2 linked regions of the Arabidopsis thaliana genome follow. The protein of the gene in region 1 interacts with the protein of each later gene in a pairwise test. Each region holds a gene or a part of one and is shown on either strand. Other genes may lie near its edges.

Region 1 (10,067 bases):
TTTAGCAATGCCGATCGCAATAGCACCACTTCCTGTCCCAAGATCAGCCCAAATATCTTTCTTAAACCATTCATCTCTCGTTACAAGCTCCTCCACCATATCGACGATCAGTTCCGTCTCCGGTCTCGGAATTAGAACCCCTTCCTCAACGCACAACACTAGATCTCTCCAATGCTCGCATCCGACGACGTACTGAAACGGCCGACGCTTCTCGATCCTCTGCCTCCATAAATCGTAAAGCTCCTCCAACGACGCTCTCAATTTCACATTCTTCTCGCCGTTGTCCGCGATTTCGCTTCTATGAAGAATCACTAAAGGATCGTCTACGATTGAGTCTTCGATCAGCCATTTTAGCTCACGGTGGAGAATGACAGAGTCAAGAGTATCTTCGGAATTCTTCGAAGATTCCTCTACGGAGGACGCCAGATCTTTCGCCCAGTCGTGCCATTTCCAAACCTCCGATAGAGAAGTTGCGTGCGACGGCGTCCTAAGGTATAGCGGTGTCTTGGGAGTTATGCTGAGAGACTTAGTCGGCCGAGAGGATTTTGACTCTGTAAGCGACGTGTATTGCGGTGGTTTTTTCGCCGGAGAAGATGAGCAAAGAGGTTTAGCGGCAGAGAGCAAAGAGGTTAACCGTAGACTTGGGAAGATTCTTATCATTTCAAGGTTTTTGCCGCACAAACAGACCAAATCGGTTTATAAATATATTACCAACTAAACCGGATAATCCGGTTCTGTTTTTAGCCGGGTTTTGAACCGAGGATTGAAATAAGATTAACAAGGAATATAAGGGGCTAAAGCATAAATAAAGAAAAGTTCTTCTTATTTTTGTTTGCGGCTCCGATAGATCTTTGGAGCAACGAACAAACATGAGCTTGACGCTGCTTCAAGGCTATTCTTCTGCTGAAGAAGAAGAAGCAGAGGAGAGAGCTTTTGGGGATTACGACAACTCCGACGAAGATGGGGATAATGATGTTCGGAGATATGAATCGTCTTCTGTGTTTGATTTCTCTGCATCTGCCTCCTCCGCTAAAAACGCCGGCCTTCCTTCAGCTGACGACGTTTTCTCTCAGGTCTTCCTTCTCTTTGATTTTGATTTTATACACCTCAATTCATCGAATTGTCGTTTTCCTTGAGGAGATTCGCTGTGAGATTGAATGGTTTCTTTATTATAGATGAAAATAAGTTACTTGGATCTGTAGATTTGATGTGATCGGAATTTAGGGTTAGGAATCCTGAGACTAGGTTAGGTTTGGGGTTTGAATAATAAAGAGATCTTCTGATAGTGAAAACTTTTCAGTGTTCGTTGGCTTGGTTACTTCTTACTCGAAAAGCTTATAGTGAATGATTCTTTGCTTCTATTGAATTTTGCAGATTTCAGGGCCACCGGAGTTTCTAAACAACCGCACAGAAGCAGATAATGAAGCTTCAGCTAGAGATGCAGAACATGCAAATCGTATTAGTCGCAAAAAGAAGAAAGTTAAACCAAAAGGTAGCCACAACTCTTTTGCATCGTCTTAGCATTTTGGTTATAGGGAATGGTACATCTTTAGATGATGTTGAAGAATTTACATCAGTAGGTTTAAAGTTCACAAGATTACGGATTTGTATCTCGAAAATATATGTGAATGTGGATTTAGCTTTAGAAGCTTGTTTTGATACTTAAAGCATAAACATTGTGAAATATGAAACCAGGCACTTTGTGTTGTAATCTCTATCTATCCAGTTTCACAGTTCTGTTTATGGAACTGTTGTTATCTCTCGATCCAGCCTGATGGTTTCCGTTTATTGGCTTGTAGGTGTTGTCATGGAAGCAAAACCTCAACTAGTAGGAATCCATGAGAGAGTAAGAAACGATATTGATGCACCCCCATCTTCAGAGAGTGGTGAAAAGCGGATATCTACTGCAACCAATCCTAATGCAGAAGAATCTGCAGATCTCTTGAGGTATGAATAACCCTTGCCCTCTTCTTCATTCTTTAGTATAAATTTGCACAATGTGAGCTTGATTAGGATTTCTATGATGAGTTTAGGATGTGTGTGCAATGCGGTGTACCGAAAACATATACAAGCGCAAGAGGAATGGTATGCCCGATTTGTGGTGACCGGCCATTACCGGACGTAGACGCGAAGAAGAAAGGCTCTACGATCAAAGATAAAGAGAAGAGCAAAAGAATGAGAGGACAATCTTCTCACGCTTCTTGGAAAAGTGAAACCGAGATGCAGCTTAGGCAAACTTTCGATTAGTGTTTCTTTTACCTTTTACTACATTTGTACCATCCAAATCCAATTTCTGTAACGTAGCTTGTGACACAAAGGTTAATCTTATAATTTGCTTCGGAATGTCTAATTTCATCATTATTGAAATATATATATTTATGAGATCATCAAATATTTATTGGAAAATAAAACCCTAAAATTCGCTATTTTGAAAAAAAGAGAGTAAATACACAGCAGAATATTTTATCGCATTACAAAACGAACTAACATCTTTATCTACAGAATTGCTATGTCTCTACTTCTTCCTCTACTTAACAACTTGAACAGATTACAAAGGTAAAGAACATATCTTAAAGACCTGGTTCGAGCAACCAGGTGTACAATCAGGTTCGAGCAACCAGGTGTACAATCAGGTTCGAACCGAAATCTAGACCAGAAAGTTATCTCAACACATAAATACAACTGTGTTACAAAATCCATGATTCTAATGAAGAAGCAGTCAGGATTTTAGTAACTAACCTGAGCAATTTCGCTTAGCCAAAATCGAGATTAGTGTTAACAACAATATCTCGAATGCTTCAGCAATGAAAGAGCCAGTTTTATTTGACATCATTAATTGTTGTCACTTGTTACAACTTCTGCTTCGGGTCTAAGTTCTGTAGTTTCCTCTTGTTTCTCTATCCTCAGGCTCGGACTACTATTGGGCTGAGGAATCTGTGTAGATAGTGATGGGTAAAATGAGGCACTGTGTTTTGCACATTAAATGGCGGTGTAAGAATCGAAGGTTTAACTTACCATTGGATGAGATTTATAAGACAGAACATTGTTATCGGATGAAAGAGATGAGTCTGAGGGCCTGTGAAACAGCAAATGAGCTATCGATCGATCTATCGGGTTTGTATCAGTTTCGATATCCATGAATCCAGCATACCTGGATGAGACCACATACAGATATCAAAGATTAGAATCTAAGAGAAATGAAGGACGAGTACAAGAGCCCAAGTGGAAGTTTCTAAAGAAGAGAGTTACTAAATCTGTCAAGACTCGAGTCTAATCCTATATAAAGTTATAAGTTGGCATCAAGAACTTTACTTAGCAACAGGTGATAAAGGGTGAACATATTGAATAATTATGTAGGATGTGGTGCTTACTTGTCTGCTTCACCAGTCACGAGATGCGAGCCTGCGCCTTTCTCCGGTCTGTTTCCACCATGATGTCTCTGTTCCGCACTTTTTGCTAATCGGTATAAGCTGTCTCTTATGCAAAGCTTTGTCCTAACATCCAACTGGAGCAAGCAAGTGTATTATCAACCAAGTAAGCAAATGTATATGTAAATTTATTAACATATATACACTTTGATATCAATCACAAAGGAACAGCAAACTTTTACCGATTCCCAGGAAGCCTTTTCCTTATATCAACAATTATCTATTGACAAGTTGTACCTGTTCTATAACTTGTTGAAGCTGGCGAAAACTTGTTGCTTCCAGTGAAATGTCATCCACAACAGAGCTAACACAAGAACTTCCCTGCATATTTGATGTTTCCAATTCAGTTGCAGCTTTTCTGTGGTCATTCTCAAGCCCAATCTTCTGGATAGGAGCAGCATCAGGAAACACCATGGAGTCTGTCTTACTACTCTTCTTGGTATTTGCAGCAAAAGAAGGAGGCATATCTTGCCCAGGCAGCAAGTTGGCTCTCGTTTCAAAGACCTTCCTAAACCGATCATCAACAGTTGGACCTTGTAAGCTCTCGATTGATTGTGCATGATTTGATGTGTATGACTCATTTGAAGCAGAGGAAGGACTGGGTTTGTTCTCAGATTTAATACCAGATTTACTTTCACATGCTGATACTTGAACGGAAGGCTGCTCACAATTGAAATGCGAGTATGGCACATCTCGCTGTTGGAATGCGGAGGGAGGGTAATACTGGTTGGTATCCATTATTTCCCTTGAAATACCACTGTGCTGTAAAGTAAAACTGTTCTCCGAGAACCCATCACTTTTCCCATCCAGATGATGAAGATGATCAGTCTGCTTCTTCTCAAGATTTGCCTGTATAACAAAAATTTGTACTGATATGAAATTGCTGGAATAGTGTCAAGATTTCAACAGTACAAATACTTATCTAATAGAATATCCACTTGCCCTTAACGAAACCATAAACCACCATTGTAAAAAGCGTCATATCATAGTTAGAGGATTTAACTGAGGAAAACGTGCAACTAAATAAGTCATCATAGAAGGTAACATCCCATGTAGTTAATGGTTGCATGTGCCTTGGAAGGCGCAAACAATTCTGAAATAAGAAATTGACTAACCTCTACATCCAGCATCAATATATCCTTCTTTTGCAAACTTGTATCGAATACATTTTGTGATGATTTTCCTTGAGCTGAATCGTCCTCAATAGTATATCCATACTCATCTTCAACAGCATGGTTGGGCTCACTGTTGTTCAAAAAGTCTTCAACCTGCAACATAGCGGTTCTTTGATTTTCCAACATTTTGTCTGGTTTGAGATCATCTGTCATCGCGCCTGCTGTCTCCTCATTTGGCTGGGCAGAAGAGAACCACCCTAAGTCACCTTCATTATTAAGACTATCCAAGCCGAATGTTGAATCACAACTCCTGTGCGTCCAATAAACGAGTGTAGGCTCAGACAAATGTTACCATGTTTCTCCCATAAGCAATGATCCCCAATGTGATAAGAATATATAGAAAAGAGAATATCTAAAATGTTACCTAAGCATGTTGTCCACATCCTCAAAATTTCCTATGTCACCCCAGCCATAGAAGAGATCATTTTTTTCTTTATCTCCATTGTCGAAAAAGCTAAGATCATTTTCAGCATCCGGAATGCTGTTGAGGGAATAATTATATACGCCATCATTCGTTGCAGCGGAAGTGTCACACAACATGGGATCCCCAGTGGAGAAATTTTCAACCACATCTACGTGGCCACCATTGAAACCATGATCTGAAGTATTTGTATCCTCCAATGTCATATCCTGAACATCTTTTCCTGTTCCCGTATCACGAGAAACCGAAGAGCCACCACTATCTTTCTCAGGCCATGGATTTTTTCCTAACATGTTTGCCTCTCTCTTGATAAAAGTATTACTCTTTAGATGGTTTGTTCCACTACCCATATCATCATTTCTTCGTTTCTTCCTGTTACTAACTAGAATTGGAAACTGACCTCCATCCTCATACGCTGAGTCTGGCACTATACCATCATCGTTCCCATGAAATTCATCCGAAAGATAATCGCCTAGCTGAAAGGAAAAGAAAGGAAAGAAAACTTCAGCCACCAATTAGAAATCCACATTACCAAGTCAAAGAAAAAAATGACTAGGGAAACATCAAACCGAGTAGACTAACAAAGTATCCCCAATCCTGCACAGAACACATCCAAGTGGTAGCGATAACAAGAAGTAAAATATGAGATGCAAGAACTGTCCTATATTTTAAACGATTTTGAACCCAATAAAAAAAGGAAATTTCACAACAGTTCATTTTCCGGGAACATACGACAAGAGCAACAACGAAAGATCTAAATCCATAGTCTCATAGAAAAAAGATACACACACATATATGATTGTGACTCCACTCACCTCATGAATGTACAAGTCCGACATTCCTCCCAACTTCAGACTCTTTAATCACCACTAAAATCATGCACATTACCCCGATATGTCATCTCTATTGCAAAACATGTAACTCCCACAAACACTATTTCTGGTTCTGGATAGGAAATATAAATATATTAAACAGCTTCCAATAATAGAGAAATCGAACCCAGCATATAAGAAAACTTGACTTTTCTTATCCAGAATCAAATCCCATGAAACCCGAAATACATGTAATCCAAACCCTAAGAGTTAACCCATTCTTTCAACTATTCATGAATTCCAGAAATTAGACTCAAATTCTACAGCCAAAAAGTCAAATCTCATAGCAAGTAGCACAAAAACAAAGTAGGAGAAAAATCAGATAGTAGGATTCAACCATTTTATGCTCGTAATTTCTAGCAAAATCGAGTTAAACTATCATTATTAAACCGAGAGTTTACAAAAACAACTAAAATCCAGTGAAATGAGGCATTCAATGAAACTAACTGCAACAAAAAAAAAAACAATCAAATCTGAGAAATCCTCAGCTACCGCTGCTATGGAAACACTGAGGATAAGAACCAAATTTTCTAATTAAATTCAATCGAAATAGATTCCATCAAAGCCGAACGAAATAAGCTCACCTGTGAGACAGATTCTTCCACTAGCAACTCCAGAAAACTCCACAGATAAAATTGTTTACCAGAAAACAAAAAACTCAGCAGATAGAAGAGATTGTATCAATTCATCGAAGCTAGATCGAAAAAAAAAACTGTGTAGGACTTTCTAGAGATGTTCGGCAGAAGACGATGAAGGCTTCCTATTTTTTTTTTTTTGACAAACATTTTAAATTTTAATTAAACTATTGTTTTTGTTTCGGGAGAATCAAAAGACAAGTGACCATGATATCAACACGTGGCAACTAAATCAAAAGGTTTAACAGGCTTGGGTTTTTAATATCAGAATTCGTGGACGAGAGAGCAGTGTGAGATCCTATCAGTTCCAGTTTTATTATTGGTACACGTCATTAGTACCTTCTCGAAACTGGGCACGCCTCATCTTCTTATTGGCTTACATCGTAATGATGACATCAGCCTTTATTTACGTATAACAAATTACCATGCGGTTAAAAAAAACAATAGTTATATGGGCCGAAGAAAGCCCAAAGAATCTTTAGTTGTTTTTCCGATCGATCTGCGAGTCGAGTAGTTTTTTTATTTGCCGGCGCCGGGAGAGATCCTTTGATCTTTTTCCGATGGAGGAGCAATTCGGCGGGAGCGATGAGAGATGGAAAGGATCATTGGAGAATATAACGGAGATGGCATCGAATCTCGATTCGCTTCAGAAACTTCTCCTCAAGAAAGCAGTCTTCGTTGAAGAAGACACTTTCTCTAGAGCTTCTCTCGTCTCCGAGCAAGCCCGAACAATCAAGGTTAATCCTTTTTCCTGTGATAAAATTTGAAATTATAGAGCTTAATTGTCTGAATTTTGAGCTTCTTTTCTTTGACTTTGATGATTGCTTCTGTGATTTGTGGATTCGATCTAGTTGATCACGATCGCACTTTTTAGTTTGCTTTAGTACTACTATAGCTCAGTGTAATAGTGTGATTCTGGAATTGCATTTGACGGTGAATTTGGGAACTTGTAGTTGATCATAAATTTTGAATCTTCGATTTTGTGATCTGTTAATGGTACAAATGATCACCAAATCCTTGAAGACTGGACTTGAGGTTTCACTATGAAAACTCCCAAGTGCAATTATGTGTATTAAGTAGAAATTCTTCATGTTGTAAGTAAAAAAGGACTGTGTTACATGTTTGAGATAAGGGATAGTTTCAGATTGTCTCTTAACTCTGTTCAATGGTTTGTTTTAGGTTCTTGAGCAAAGAGTACAAACACTAGAAAGAGAACTAGATGCTGCCATTACAGCTGCTGCTCATGCTCGGTCTGAGAAACGCCAAGCTGAGTCCTCTCAAAAGGCTGCTGAATCACGTGCCCAAGATGTCACAAAAGAGCTTGAAAACACCACAAGTATGCACTTGATAATCACTTCTTGAGTTGATGCCTGGTGGCACCATTCTCTCCCGCACGTTTATCTGCGTTCCAGTTTCATATTCACTCTCACTCACTGACTTATACAACTCTTGGTTTCAGAGGTTTTCAAGCTGCATATGGAAGAGCTTCGAGGAATGCAAGAACAGATATCCAAACGCGATAACGAGATCAAACTCTTAGAAGCTATAATCCAAACGCTCGGCGGCAAAGAGCGGTTGGGAAAAAGCGACGTGAATGGATGATGATGATGCGTTTTTTCACTTGTAAAGGTTTGTACTCCTGAGTTTGTGGAGATGTATCACTTCGAAGATAAATGTATTTTTGTCTGTCTATTTGGTACGTTTTAGAATCTTGCCTGTTCTTTCAAGAAATGAATGTTACATGGGCCTGACCCTATAAATGGGCCTAATGTGAATCGATCGATACTAAAAATGGGTTTTATAGGTGTGTGTGTGTGGTTTTCACACGTTTGCCGCCGATAGTGCTGCGATGCCATCCAGATTCAGTAACGCGGCATCTCCAGGACTCCAGCCGTGTGGAGCAAGAAACTACGTAAATTTGACAGCTGAAGATGCAATTTCACAAAAAGAGAATAAAAGAAACAAAAGAGGATTATGACCAATTTAGAAAAAACTTTTTTCAAAAAAGTGATGCTTCATGGTTTTTAGCGTGTGGGGTGTCTCTCTATATTATCTAATTTTTTGGTAGAAACTAGTGTACAATATCTAATTTTGATAAAATACCAATGAAGGAAGTTTTGACTATTTCTGATTGCTTTATTTTTGTTTGCTTTGTTATAGTATATACAAGCATATAATTTTTATTTTTAAGGCTCGATTAAGTAAGGTAAGAAAAATGAGGATTGTGTCTAAAACTAGGTGGGGGTGAACCAAAGAAATACGTAAAGTAATAAATTAATGCAAAGGCCATTGTTGTTTACTTCACGCTGCGAAAGTGGTTAAAAAGAATCTATGGCTACTAATTATTCTCTTACAAATTTTCTTTATACATTTGGATAAAAGCAAGAACATAAACACTTTCTGATTATGACAAAGAATCTGAATTTCATTTTGCTGTTACTAGTCAACTCTAGTCAATTGTCATGCATATCATAGCACAGTAAACCATCTCTATCGACTATCATATTAATAAAGAGTCACTAATCAAATTTCCAATATTCAAAAAAATATATCGTAATCATGCAACATTTAAGTTTCGATAATCATTCAATACGAGTATATCCAAACCCTTGATATATGAAATATGTATTCCTACGAAATGGCCAAGTTTATTATTCCACTTTTAACTAATTTCAAGCTTATCACTTCATTTTTCTTTTTGCTAAATCCTGCACATGATTCAATGTTCTTGACCCCATTTGACGTACAAATACAATATAACGTGCATCTATTTATACGTGTATATATATGCAATCAAACCTCAAACACAACCACATAACAAAAAAAATGATGTCCGAGAAGTTCCCTGATGTATTCACTTGGATACAAAACATCCCACAGATCACCAAATGGCGCACAACTTCTCTTCCCTTTTGCATTTGCCCTTCAACTTCTGATTTTCCAAATTCAACCCTAAATCTCACAGCACAAAAGAGCCCTAGCCCTAAAGTTGTCACTTTCTCCATCATCGTCCAATCCAATAATCATTCTCCTTTGTATCTTTGGACCACTAAACAAGAGCTCAGCATCAACCCAAACTCACCAAACCCTTTCGATGAACTAACAATCATCTCTCTCCTCTTCAATTTCGTCGAAACTATCTTAACCTATACCTCTAATAGTTCCAACTATTCAACGATCAAAATCCCTAACTCCGATTCATCCAAGATCGGCGGTCTTAAAGACATAGTCAACACCGTGATTCTCACTCTCTCGTTCGTTGTTTGCGTCTACGAAGCTCCTCTGTATCTCCGTGAAAACTGCCTCAATACCCTCAAGAACCATTTGATTACTTGTCATACACGGCGAGCTACTATATCTCTGATGAAGCTTCTAGGGTCTAATTTGGAAGAGCAGTGGATGAGAACAGTGAATCTAGCGTTTACAAATTGGATCATCGAGCAGCGTCGTAGTCAGTCAACCAAGATCACAACAACTCCTTTGTTCTCTTACGCTGTTTCGGCTTATGGATTGTGGAAAGTGCAATTGTATTGTCC
Region 2 (8,701 bases), on another chromosome or scaffold:
TAAACTCGAAAATGGTGGAGATGCCAAGATGGTCGCCTCGGAGAATGAGACAGCTGTTACTGTCTCTGAGAATGGAGGTGACAGAGCTGCAGATGAAGACGAAATTGATCCCTTAGATGCTTTTATGAATACTATGGTATTACCTGAGGTTGAAAAGCTTAGCAATATTGTGATCGATGGTATTTTGGATTTTAAAATGAATGGGAAGGAAACTGGTGACCAAGCCAAAAAAGGTTTTAATAAGGCCGCCCTTGGTAGGATAATTCAAGGTGAAGATTCTGATTCAGATTACTCAGAACCAAAGAGTGATGATGATCCAAGTTTAGACGAAGACGACGAGGAGTTTATGAAGAGAGTTAAGAAGACAAAAGCAGAGAAATTGTCTCTTGTTGACCACTCCAAAATAGAGTATGAACCTTTCCGGAAGAATTTTTATATCGAAGTCAAGGATATCTCAAGGATGACACAGGATGCAGTGAACGCTTATAGAAAGGAATTGGAGCTGAAAGTTCATGGGAAAGATGTTCCAAGACCCATTCAATTTTGGCACCAGACTGGATTAACTAGCAAAATTTTGGATACTCTGAAGAAGCTTAACTATGAAAAGCCAATGCCTATCCAAGCACAAGCACTTCCAATCATCATGAGCGGTAGAGACTGCATTGGGGTTGCCAAAACCGGGTCAGGTAAAACCCTTGGCTTTGTTTTGCCTATGTTGAGGCATATCAAAGATCAGCCTCCCGTTGAAGCTGGTGATGGGCCGATTGGGCTTGTAATGGCACCTACTAGAGAACTTGTTCAGCAGATTTACAGCGATATCAGAAAGTTTTCTAAGGCATTGGGTATAATATGTGTGCCTGTGTATGGAGGATCTGGAGTTGCCCAGCAAATCAGTGAGCTTAAGCGAGGTACCGAGATTGTTGTTTGTACTCCTGGAAGAATGATCGATATTCTTTGCACAAGCAGTGGAAAAATTACCAATCTACGAAGGGTCACATATTTGGTAATGGATGAAGCTGATCGTATGTTTGATATGGGTTTTGAGCCTCAAATAACTCGCATTGTTCAAAATATTCGACCTGATCGTCAAACTGTGCTCTTTTCTGCCACTTTTCCACGCCAAGTTGAAACTTTGGCACGTAAAGTCTTGAACAAGCCTGTGGAGATACAGGTCGGTGGGAGGAGTGTTGTGAATAAAGATATAACTCAGTTAGTTGAAATCAGACCCGAGAGTGAGAGGTTCTCAAGACTTCTGGAACTTCTTGGGGAATGGTATGAGAAAGGAAAAGTTTTGGTCTTTGTTCGTTCGCAGGAAAAATGTGATGCTTTGTATAATGATTTGATGACCAAATGAGCCTGTCTATCTCTTCACGGGGGTAAGGAACAGACTGATCGTGAATCAGCTATATCTGATTTTAAGAGCGATGTCTGCAATTTGTTGATCGCCACAAGTGTTGCAGCCAGGGGTCTAGATGTGAAAGAGCTCGAGTTGGTTGTAAACTTCGATGCACCAAACCACTATGAAGACTATGTGCATCGTGTTGGTAGGACAGGTAGGGCAGGGCGGAAAGGCTGTGCTGTAACATTTATCTCTGAGGATGATGCAAAATATGCACCAGATTTAGTCAAGGCCCTGGAACTATCTGAGCAGCCAGTTCCTGATGATGTTAAAGCAGTAGCCGAAGGGTTCATGGCGAAAGTAAAACAGGGTATTGAGCAAGCTCATGGAACTGGCTATGGTGGAAGTGGCTTTAAATTCAACGAAGAGGAGGATGAAGTTAGGAAAGCAGCAAAGAAAGCACAAGCGAAGGAGTATGGCTTTGAAGAAGAGAAGTCTGACTCAGAAGATGAGAATGATGTAGTAAGAAAGGCTGGTGGTGATATCTCACAGCAGCAGATTACTCTTGCTCAGATAGCCGCCATTGCTTCTGCTGCTTCTAAGGCTCCTGTGACTGCTAACCAATTGCTTCCAAATGGTGGTGGGCTAGCCACTGAGCCAGGTATCCCTCCTACTGATGGAGCAGGCCGCGTTGCAGCCATGATTGCTGCTGCTAACGTGCAACAGTACCTTGCAAAGATTCAAGCTGATGCGATACCTGAACACTATGAAGCAGAATTGGAAATCAATGATTTCCCACAGAATGCTCGGTGGAAAGTTACCCACAAAGAAACGCTGGGACCAATATCAGAGTGGAGTGGAGCTTCCATTACCACTAGAGGTAAGTTTTATGAGGCAGGACGTATCCCGGGACCTGAGGAACGCAAGCTCTATTTGTTCGTCGAAGGGCCTACCGAAATATCTGTTAAGACAGCGAAAGCTGAACTCAAGCGTGTTCTTGAAGACATAACTAACCAAACCTTCTCCCTTCCTGGAGGAGCACAATCAGGCAGATACTCTGTTTTATAAAATCATGAGGTTTTTGATTCTAGGATTTTTTAAAAATTATTCAGAAAACTAGTAAGTATTGATTGATGTTGTTGAATACTTGAATACATACAATCTCTCCACAATTGCAAAATCTTTTTATAGACTTGACTTGGTTTCCTTATTAAAAACAAAATTCTGAATCAAACCCCATAATATATAAAGAAAGCTGTCAACTTTAAAACAATAGAGTTGCCGTCATTTACTTAACACTGATCTTGAACCATTACACTCAGTCCTAGGACTTATCTTTTACACAAATACACAACAACTGAACAAAAAGTTATGACGAGATTTTAGTACAAGAGTAACGGGTGGATGAGAATGAGGCTGTCTTGCAACTAGTAGAAAAACCCCTTACATATATTATACCTACCATTCACCCAACTAGTCCTGGTCAAAATCTGCGGAAGCCCCCTATAGCTTCAAAACTTGGCTTATGTTTCTCCTCAAAACAACAAAGACCTTTTACACAATTCCCACATGATGATGCAGTGACACGATTGTGATTCCAGTGACGTATAACACCAAAGTTTATTAAACATGGGAAACCAATGAGTAAACCTGCCAATACGGTGAGAACCATATAACTCTTATGCAAGACTTTACAAAGTTTGCAAGAAGCCTGAACTGGTGCTAATACTCAAAATACCGTAGTGTATATATCTTGTATCCCAGACTGTGACTAACTATAGAACTCTTATTGCAAACCTTAGAGTTAGAGAACTGTCACTAGACTTATATCTAACCATGAACTCATGTGACTTCTAATAGTAGTGAAATGTTTTCTTGTACTGAATTTAAAAGGTCAGAGGAAAAAGAGGGAAAAACACTTACTTGCTAGCTGATGGCTCATATTTTTGTTATGCTGATTTGTCGCTTGTTGAGTTCTTGACAAGGGAAACAACGCTTGGGAGCTCGGTCGTCACGTTGTCATATGATAAGAGGACTTTCCTCTGCAGCATCATTACAATCCGACTAGCTGAGGTTAGATTAAATTTGATCACGCAAGCGCAAAAAAACTCATTTCAATGTAAGGAACCAAAGATCATAAAAGAAGTGCCTCCAACTCATTGGTTGAGAGTGAAATAGTTTCAGACTCTGAGAAAGTTGGTCATCACAAATCTTTTATCGCAAATTTAACACTTACAGTGGATTCTAAATCAGGGTTTGATAAGTTAACTGTGAGGTTTCTCATCAATAACAGAACCTGTAAACACCATACTATGTGATTAGTGAAGAAATGCTAAGAGCTTGAACACCAATTAATCTGAAAGCTTGTAAACTCTTGACTCACAGTTTCGAAATTTATAGGATCCATTTCCTTGAGCTTTTCCACATGGCCTCTCGTTTCAGGATCAAAGACACTCCCAATGAAATTATAAACTTCAGCAAAATCAGGAACACCTACAAAGATAGTATCAGTACAGTCTCCATCATGCATAAAAGTTAGTGAAAAAACATGGAATTGTTCACAGATGGTTACCGTGAAGCACTGGAGGCTGTTTAGCCTTTCTTACAATCTCAGAACCTGATACTGTTCGGCTTGAGCTTCCCATGCCAGATGTAGAAGGGCTACTAACATTTAATAAGCCCTTTGATCCAATATCAGCTGAATCAGTGGCGTTATATGCCATAATAAGCACATGAAACGTCCTTTGATGGAACCTATTCTTACTACAACTACCAATAAAATGAAGAAAACAAAAAGGATAGACAAATGTGCATGCCTTCTGCTCCACGAAGAGTAGCAAGTTCATGTTGTGGTGAAATAACTCTGTTTAGCAGCATTGAGGCATCATCCCATGAAGCATATCCCGGCATGTCGCCATTTCGCGTAGTAGTAAAAGACGTGGAAACTTGAAGTGGCATTTGAGCTGCAAGAAAATGTGAGTTAAAAACTCAACTCTATAACCAAACTAAGAAGTATTATAAAATATTCGAACCGTTCTTTGATGCCTTTTGAGGATACGGATGAGCTGCTTTGCGCTTAGGTCGAGGAGGTGGCACATGAGCTAATGTCCCGTTTTTCTGAACCTTGAGAAAGTATTTTTGAGCATGACTCCTTATCTGCAGTACAAAGTCAAATAAGTTGAAAACATTGCCACAAAGTAACTGCGACCAAAAATGCAGAGTAAGCTATTTTAAAACCTGAATCACAGTCTTTGAACCAACAAAATCTTCAATCTTCTTCCAGTCACGATCAAACCTAAGGAACATAGAGGAGTAGTAGTATCAGCAGAATCAGGTCCTAGTTACATCAATAACACTTTCAAAAAGTCAACACAACTATAAATTTATTACAGTTGAAGTGCTCCAAGAAGCAGATCTTTTTAGCTAAGCAGATTTTTTATAGCTAAGTTACTACTAGACCTAAGCTAAGTAACATAAACTTTCCTCTGTTTGTTCAGTCTATAACTAACTAAACTCAGAAATCAGCAGCAAACTAAGAAATTTGAAGTCTCTAAAAACAGAGAAACAGAGATAAATTATTACAGTTGAAGTGCTTCAAGAAACTTATCGTGCTCTTCCTCTGTCCAGCTCTCTCTTGACTTGGTGATGGTATATGGTTTCCTCACTTTCTTAGACGAACCCTCTGCCACAGCATCCGTCGATGTTGGTGGTGGCGGAGGTGCTTCGGCGTTCGTTGGATTTCTTGACGGCGACGAGCTCATCGGTTATTTTTCAGATAAAGACAGGTGTAAGAGAGAATGCAGAGAGAGAAAGTAGGAAAAAGAAAAGTCCACATGGCGGGGAAGAAGTTGGGATGTGTATGTGGAGTAGGTTTCACTTTGATCTCAGACCATCCATTTTTCTGACTTTTTTTATTATTATTTCATTCTTTCCTACCACTTCATTTAGAGCCTCAAGCTTGAAGCACGTGTAGACTTGTAGTCTTTTGATTTCATGAAAATGAATCCAAAAAAACGAAAGAGTTTTATACTTTAATTAAAACAAGTGGCCTAACATTTATCTTTAACTTGCGAGTTTGTGGCCATCAAGCCATACAAGCTTTGGAAAAACCTGGCGGACAAAAGAGCTGAACTCTTCACCTGCAAATATTAGGTCGTTGTCTCTAATATCTAACTGCTTCAGTTTCATCAAATCTCTAAGCACCAAATACGCATCCTAGTATATACCAAGCACCTCTCTTCCAATTTCACCCGAATTAGAGGGCGGCCAAGAACAAAGGTACCTTGTTGTGTCCACTGGGTGCTTGCCGCCCATGTCGTTATGTGAAACATCCAACACTTTAGCTGCTTCAGATGTCTTAGAGAGTCAAGGGATGAAAAGCTCCGATTTAGGCAACAGAGAATTCGGTTTTGTATTCAAATCTTACGAAACAAATACAACAAGTCGATATGTCCGAGTGGTTAAGGAGATAGACTTGAAATCTATTGGGCTTCGCCCGCGCAGGTTCGAACCCTGCTGTCGACGTTTTTTTTTATTATTGATCTTTAATATATAAAATTAAAAGATTCCGAACCATTTGAATTTATACCTCTTCAATACATGGCTGTATATATGTAAGGACCAAGAATAATATACCATCTTCATTACATTAGAAGAAGAAAAAATATTTTGAATCTCTAACAATTTTTTCATTTTAACTGTTTTGATCAAAATGGTCTTTCACCTTCGTAATTCCCGCGTGGATCATATTCACACACCACAAGATAGCCACGACCGTTATGGCATTTCACACGTGCGCATCCAACGGCTGTGGTCTCTCTCCACACCATCTGCGTGTAATGGCCGCACATCTTTCCCGGTGCGCACGTGTTTGTTTTCACGTCGTAGTTAAACCTTTCCTCAAACCATCTCGTCACCACTTTCTCCGGCGACCACGTCTTCTTACGCCGGTGCCAGAAAATGTTCTCACCGTAAGGCCCACCTGAATGTATCATACTGCAATCGGACTTACGTTGTTTAGCCCATTTATCAGCGAATCGGGCCAGGTCTCTGTCCCATCCGAGCGTTGGCACGCCTGAAGAAACACGTGCATCGTTGTGCGCTTGTAGAAATTCTCTCGACAGTTTTGCTCTTCTCGCTCTGTTTACCAAACGCGCCGCCGTGTTCACCGCGTCGGGGATGGAGGTTCCGAGGACGGAGGGATGACCGGAAAAGAGAAGGAAGAGAAGAAGAAGACATGATGATGGATGAGACAACGTTACAGACATCTCCACGTCTCTGTATAATTTTGTCTCTCATCATGATTCCTCTGTTTCTAAGGGAGTTTTTTTTGTTACTTTTGTTCAGTTAGAGATTTTTCCATTTTCTGACATTTTAACAAATTTTCCTGATTCTGTTGTTTCATATCAAACAATTCTTATTGGTGATGATGAGAAAACTACCGTATATTTTTAGATTAAAAAAACGAAATTATTAAGGTTGTTATACTTTTCACAACCCAACAAAAGCTAAAAAGAAAAACAATTCCGTCAACAGCAGGATTCGAACCTGCGCGGGCAAAGCCCAATTGATTTCGAGTCAATCTCCTTAACCACTCGGACATATTGACTTTTGCTCATTGTTTCTACTATATTATATATATACTCAGATATTATCAGTACCAAAATAAACAAACAAAAATAAAAGCTTTTGGAGATAGAAGAAGAGTCTGGGAGAGCTCTTTTACTCATAGCAGTTAAGAAGACATGGAACAGAAAGAAAAAGACAATCCCGAAAGTCGTTTTATTTTCTTAAATATTTAAAACAAGATAGCAGACGAAGTATTAAGCAACAAAATCCATTACACTTATTTAAAATCATTATAAGCCAAAATAGACGGCCTATAAGCAATCACCAGTCTTCCTACTCTTCATTGGTCTTCATCTTCCGCAGGACTAAGGTCGTCTCTTGGGCTGTATCCGTCTCTAGGACAACGGTCCTCTCTGGGACTAGGACTCTGGTCTTCATAATTTGTTTTTGTTCAGATTAATAAGGAAAAGAATCAAGAAAACAAGACTTATTCGAATCTTTTAAATAATTATTTGAATATATATATATTATTTTTTCTAGACAAATAATTTTCCCGGGGAAAATAAAGTAAAGGAATGAGAAAAACCTTATCCAAACTTTTAAAATGCCCGTGGCGATCTCTCTCCCAACCTCATCTACTTCTCATTTCTTCCCTCGCCGCCGCGGCCATGCAAATCACCGATATCAACGCTTTTCCGGAGCTCAATCTTCCACGGAAGATCCGTACATTCGGAAGAATCAAACTGGCGTCATCATCATCGGCGCTGGACTCGCTGGTTTAGCCGCCGCAAACCAGCTCACCTCCAAACGAATCCCTTTCCTACTCCTCGAAGCTTCCGATGGCGTCGGCGGACGCGTCCGTACAGATATCGTCGACGGCTTCTTTCTCGACAGAGGATTTCAGATTTTCATCACCGCGTACCCCGAAGCTAAAAAGCTTCTAGATTATGAAGCACTGGATCTGCAGAGATTCTACGCCGGAGCTAAGGTGTTTTACGGCGGTAAATTTCACACCGTCGCTGATCCTCTCCGACATTTTTGGGATTCGGTGGCATCTCTCGCGAATCCGATCGGATCCGTCGTTGACAAAGGGCTTATCGCTTTGACGAGAGCTAGGGTTCTAATCAAGTCAGACGAAGAGATATTGACTGCCGCCGATGAAGTTCCCACCATTGATCTCCTCCGTAAGATCGGTTTCTCCGAAACGATTCTTGATCGGTTCTTCCGACCATTCTTCGGCGGAATTTTCTTCGACAGAGACCTCGAGACGACCTCGAAGCTCTTCGATTTCGTTTTCCGGTGTCTTGCTCTCGGAGAAAACACACTTCCAGCCATGGGAATCGGAGAAATCTCGAACCAGTTGGCAGCGAAGTTACCCGCTAAGTCCGTCTTGTTGAACACAAGGGTCGCTTCTATTGAGTATCCAAATGGATCGGGTTCGGATCCACCTAGCGTGAGGCTCCAAGACGGCAGCGTTATGAAGGCAGAGCTAGGTGTCATAATCGCCGTCGAGCAACCGGAAGTGAATAAGCTTCTCGATGGGATCAGAGACCCGGTTATAACAAAACCAGCTCGGAGCACTATTTGTCTTTACTTCACAGCTGAACCGAACCAAATACCGGTACAAGACCCGGTTCTATTTCTCAACGGGTCAAATTCCGGTATAATCAACAACATGTTCTTCGCTACAAACGTTGCTCGGACATACGCGCCACCGGGAAAGGCTCTGGTTTCGGTATCATTGATCGGATTGTTTGAGGATAGAACCGATGATGATTTAGCAGCAGAAGTTCT

What was found.
Region 2: the proteins of AT5G64170 (region 1) and RVE8 interact in a protein complementation assay, tested with the Arabidopsis thaliana proteins (one study listed by BioGRID).

Annotation. Positions count from the first base shown.
Region 1 is NC_003076.8:25,670,072-25,680,138, forward strand, and holds AT5G64170 (dentin sialophosphoprotein-like protein), read right to left. Parts: upstream 6,753-10,067; 5' UTR 6,481-6,752; intron 5,970-6,480; 5' UTR 5,864-5,969; coding exon 5,840-5,863; intron 5,501-5,839; coding exon 4,968-5,500; intron 4,854-4,967; coding exon 4,544-4,853; intron 4,278-4,543; coding exon 3,666-4,277; intron 3,506-3,665; coding exon 3,372-3,505; intron 3,152-3,371; coding exon 3,016-3,151; intron 2,935-3,015; coding exon 2,833-2,934; 3' UTR 2,740-2,832; exon of another isoform or gene 2,648-2,739; 3' UTR 2,395-2,647; downstream 1-2,394. Other genes in the region: AT5G64150 (RNA methyltransferase family protein), read right to left, coding at 1-660; AT5G64160 (plant/protein), read left to right, coding at 870-1,073, 1,375-1,492, 1,800-1,947, 2,034-2,247; AT5G64180 (tropomyosin), read left to right, coding at 7,092-7,268, 7,711-7,867, 7,991-8,133; AT5G64190 (neuronal PAS domain protein), read left to right, coding at 9,358-10,067. UniProt on the Arabidopsis thaliana protein: Transcriptional coactivator necessary for expression of the clock genes PRR5 and TOC1. Antagonizes REV8 function in the regulation of anthocyanin accumulation. Involved in red light input to the clock. Activates clock-controlled genes with afternoon peak.
Region 2 is NC_003074.8:2,942,858-2,951,558, reverse strand, and holds RVE8 (Homeodomain-like superfamily protein), read right to left. Parts: upstream 5,321-8,701; 5' UTR 5,101-5,320; coding exon 4,922-5,100; exon of another isoform or gene 4,646-4,921; coding exon of another isoform or gene 4,635-4,645; coding exon 4,577-4,634; intron 4,496-4,576; coding exon 4,372-4,495; intron 4,303-4,371; coding exon 4,156-4,302; intron 4,038-4,155; coding exon 3,912-4,037; intron 3,833-3,911; coding exon 3,723-3,832; intron 3,636-3,722; coding exon 3,576-3,635; coding exon of another isoform or gene 3,543-3,575; exon of another isoform or gene 3,404-3,542; coding exon of another isoform or gene 3,382-3,403; coding exon 3,289-3,381; 3' UTR 3,263-3,288; exon of another isoform or gene 2,990-3,262; 3' UTR 2,542-2,989; downstream 1-2,541. Other genes in the region: AT3G09620 (P-loop containing nucleoside triphosphate hydrolases superfamily protein), read left to right, coding at 1-1,319, 1,404-2,407; AT3G09590 (CAP (Cysteine-rich secretory proteins, Antigen 5, and Pathogenesis-related 1 protein) superfamily protein), read right to left, coding at 6,046-6,606; AT3G09580 (FAD/NAD(P)-binding oxidoreductase family protein), read left to right, coding at 7,512-8,701. UniProt on the Arabidopsis thaliana protein: Transcriptional activator of evening element (EE)-containing clock-controlled genes. Forms a negative feedback loop with APRR5. Regulates the pattern of histone H3 acetylation of the TOC1 promoter.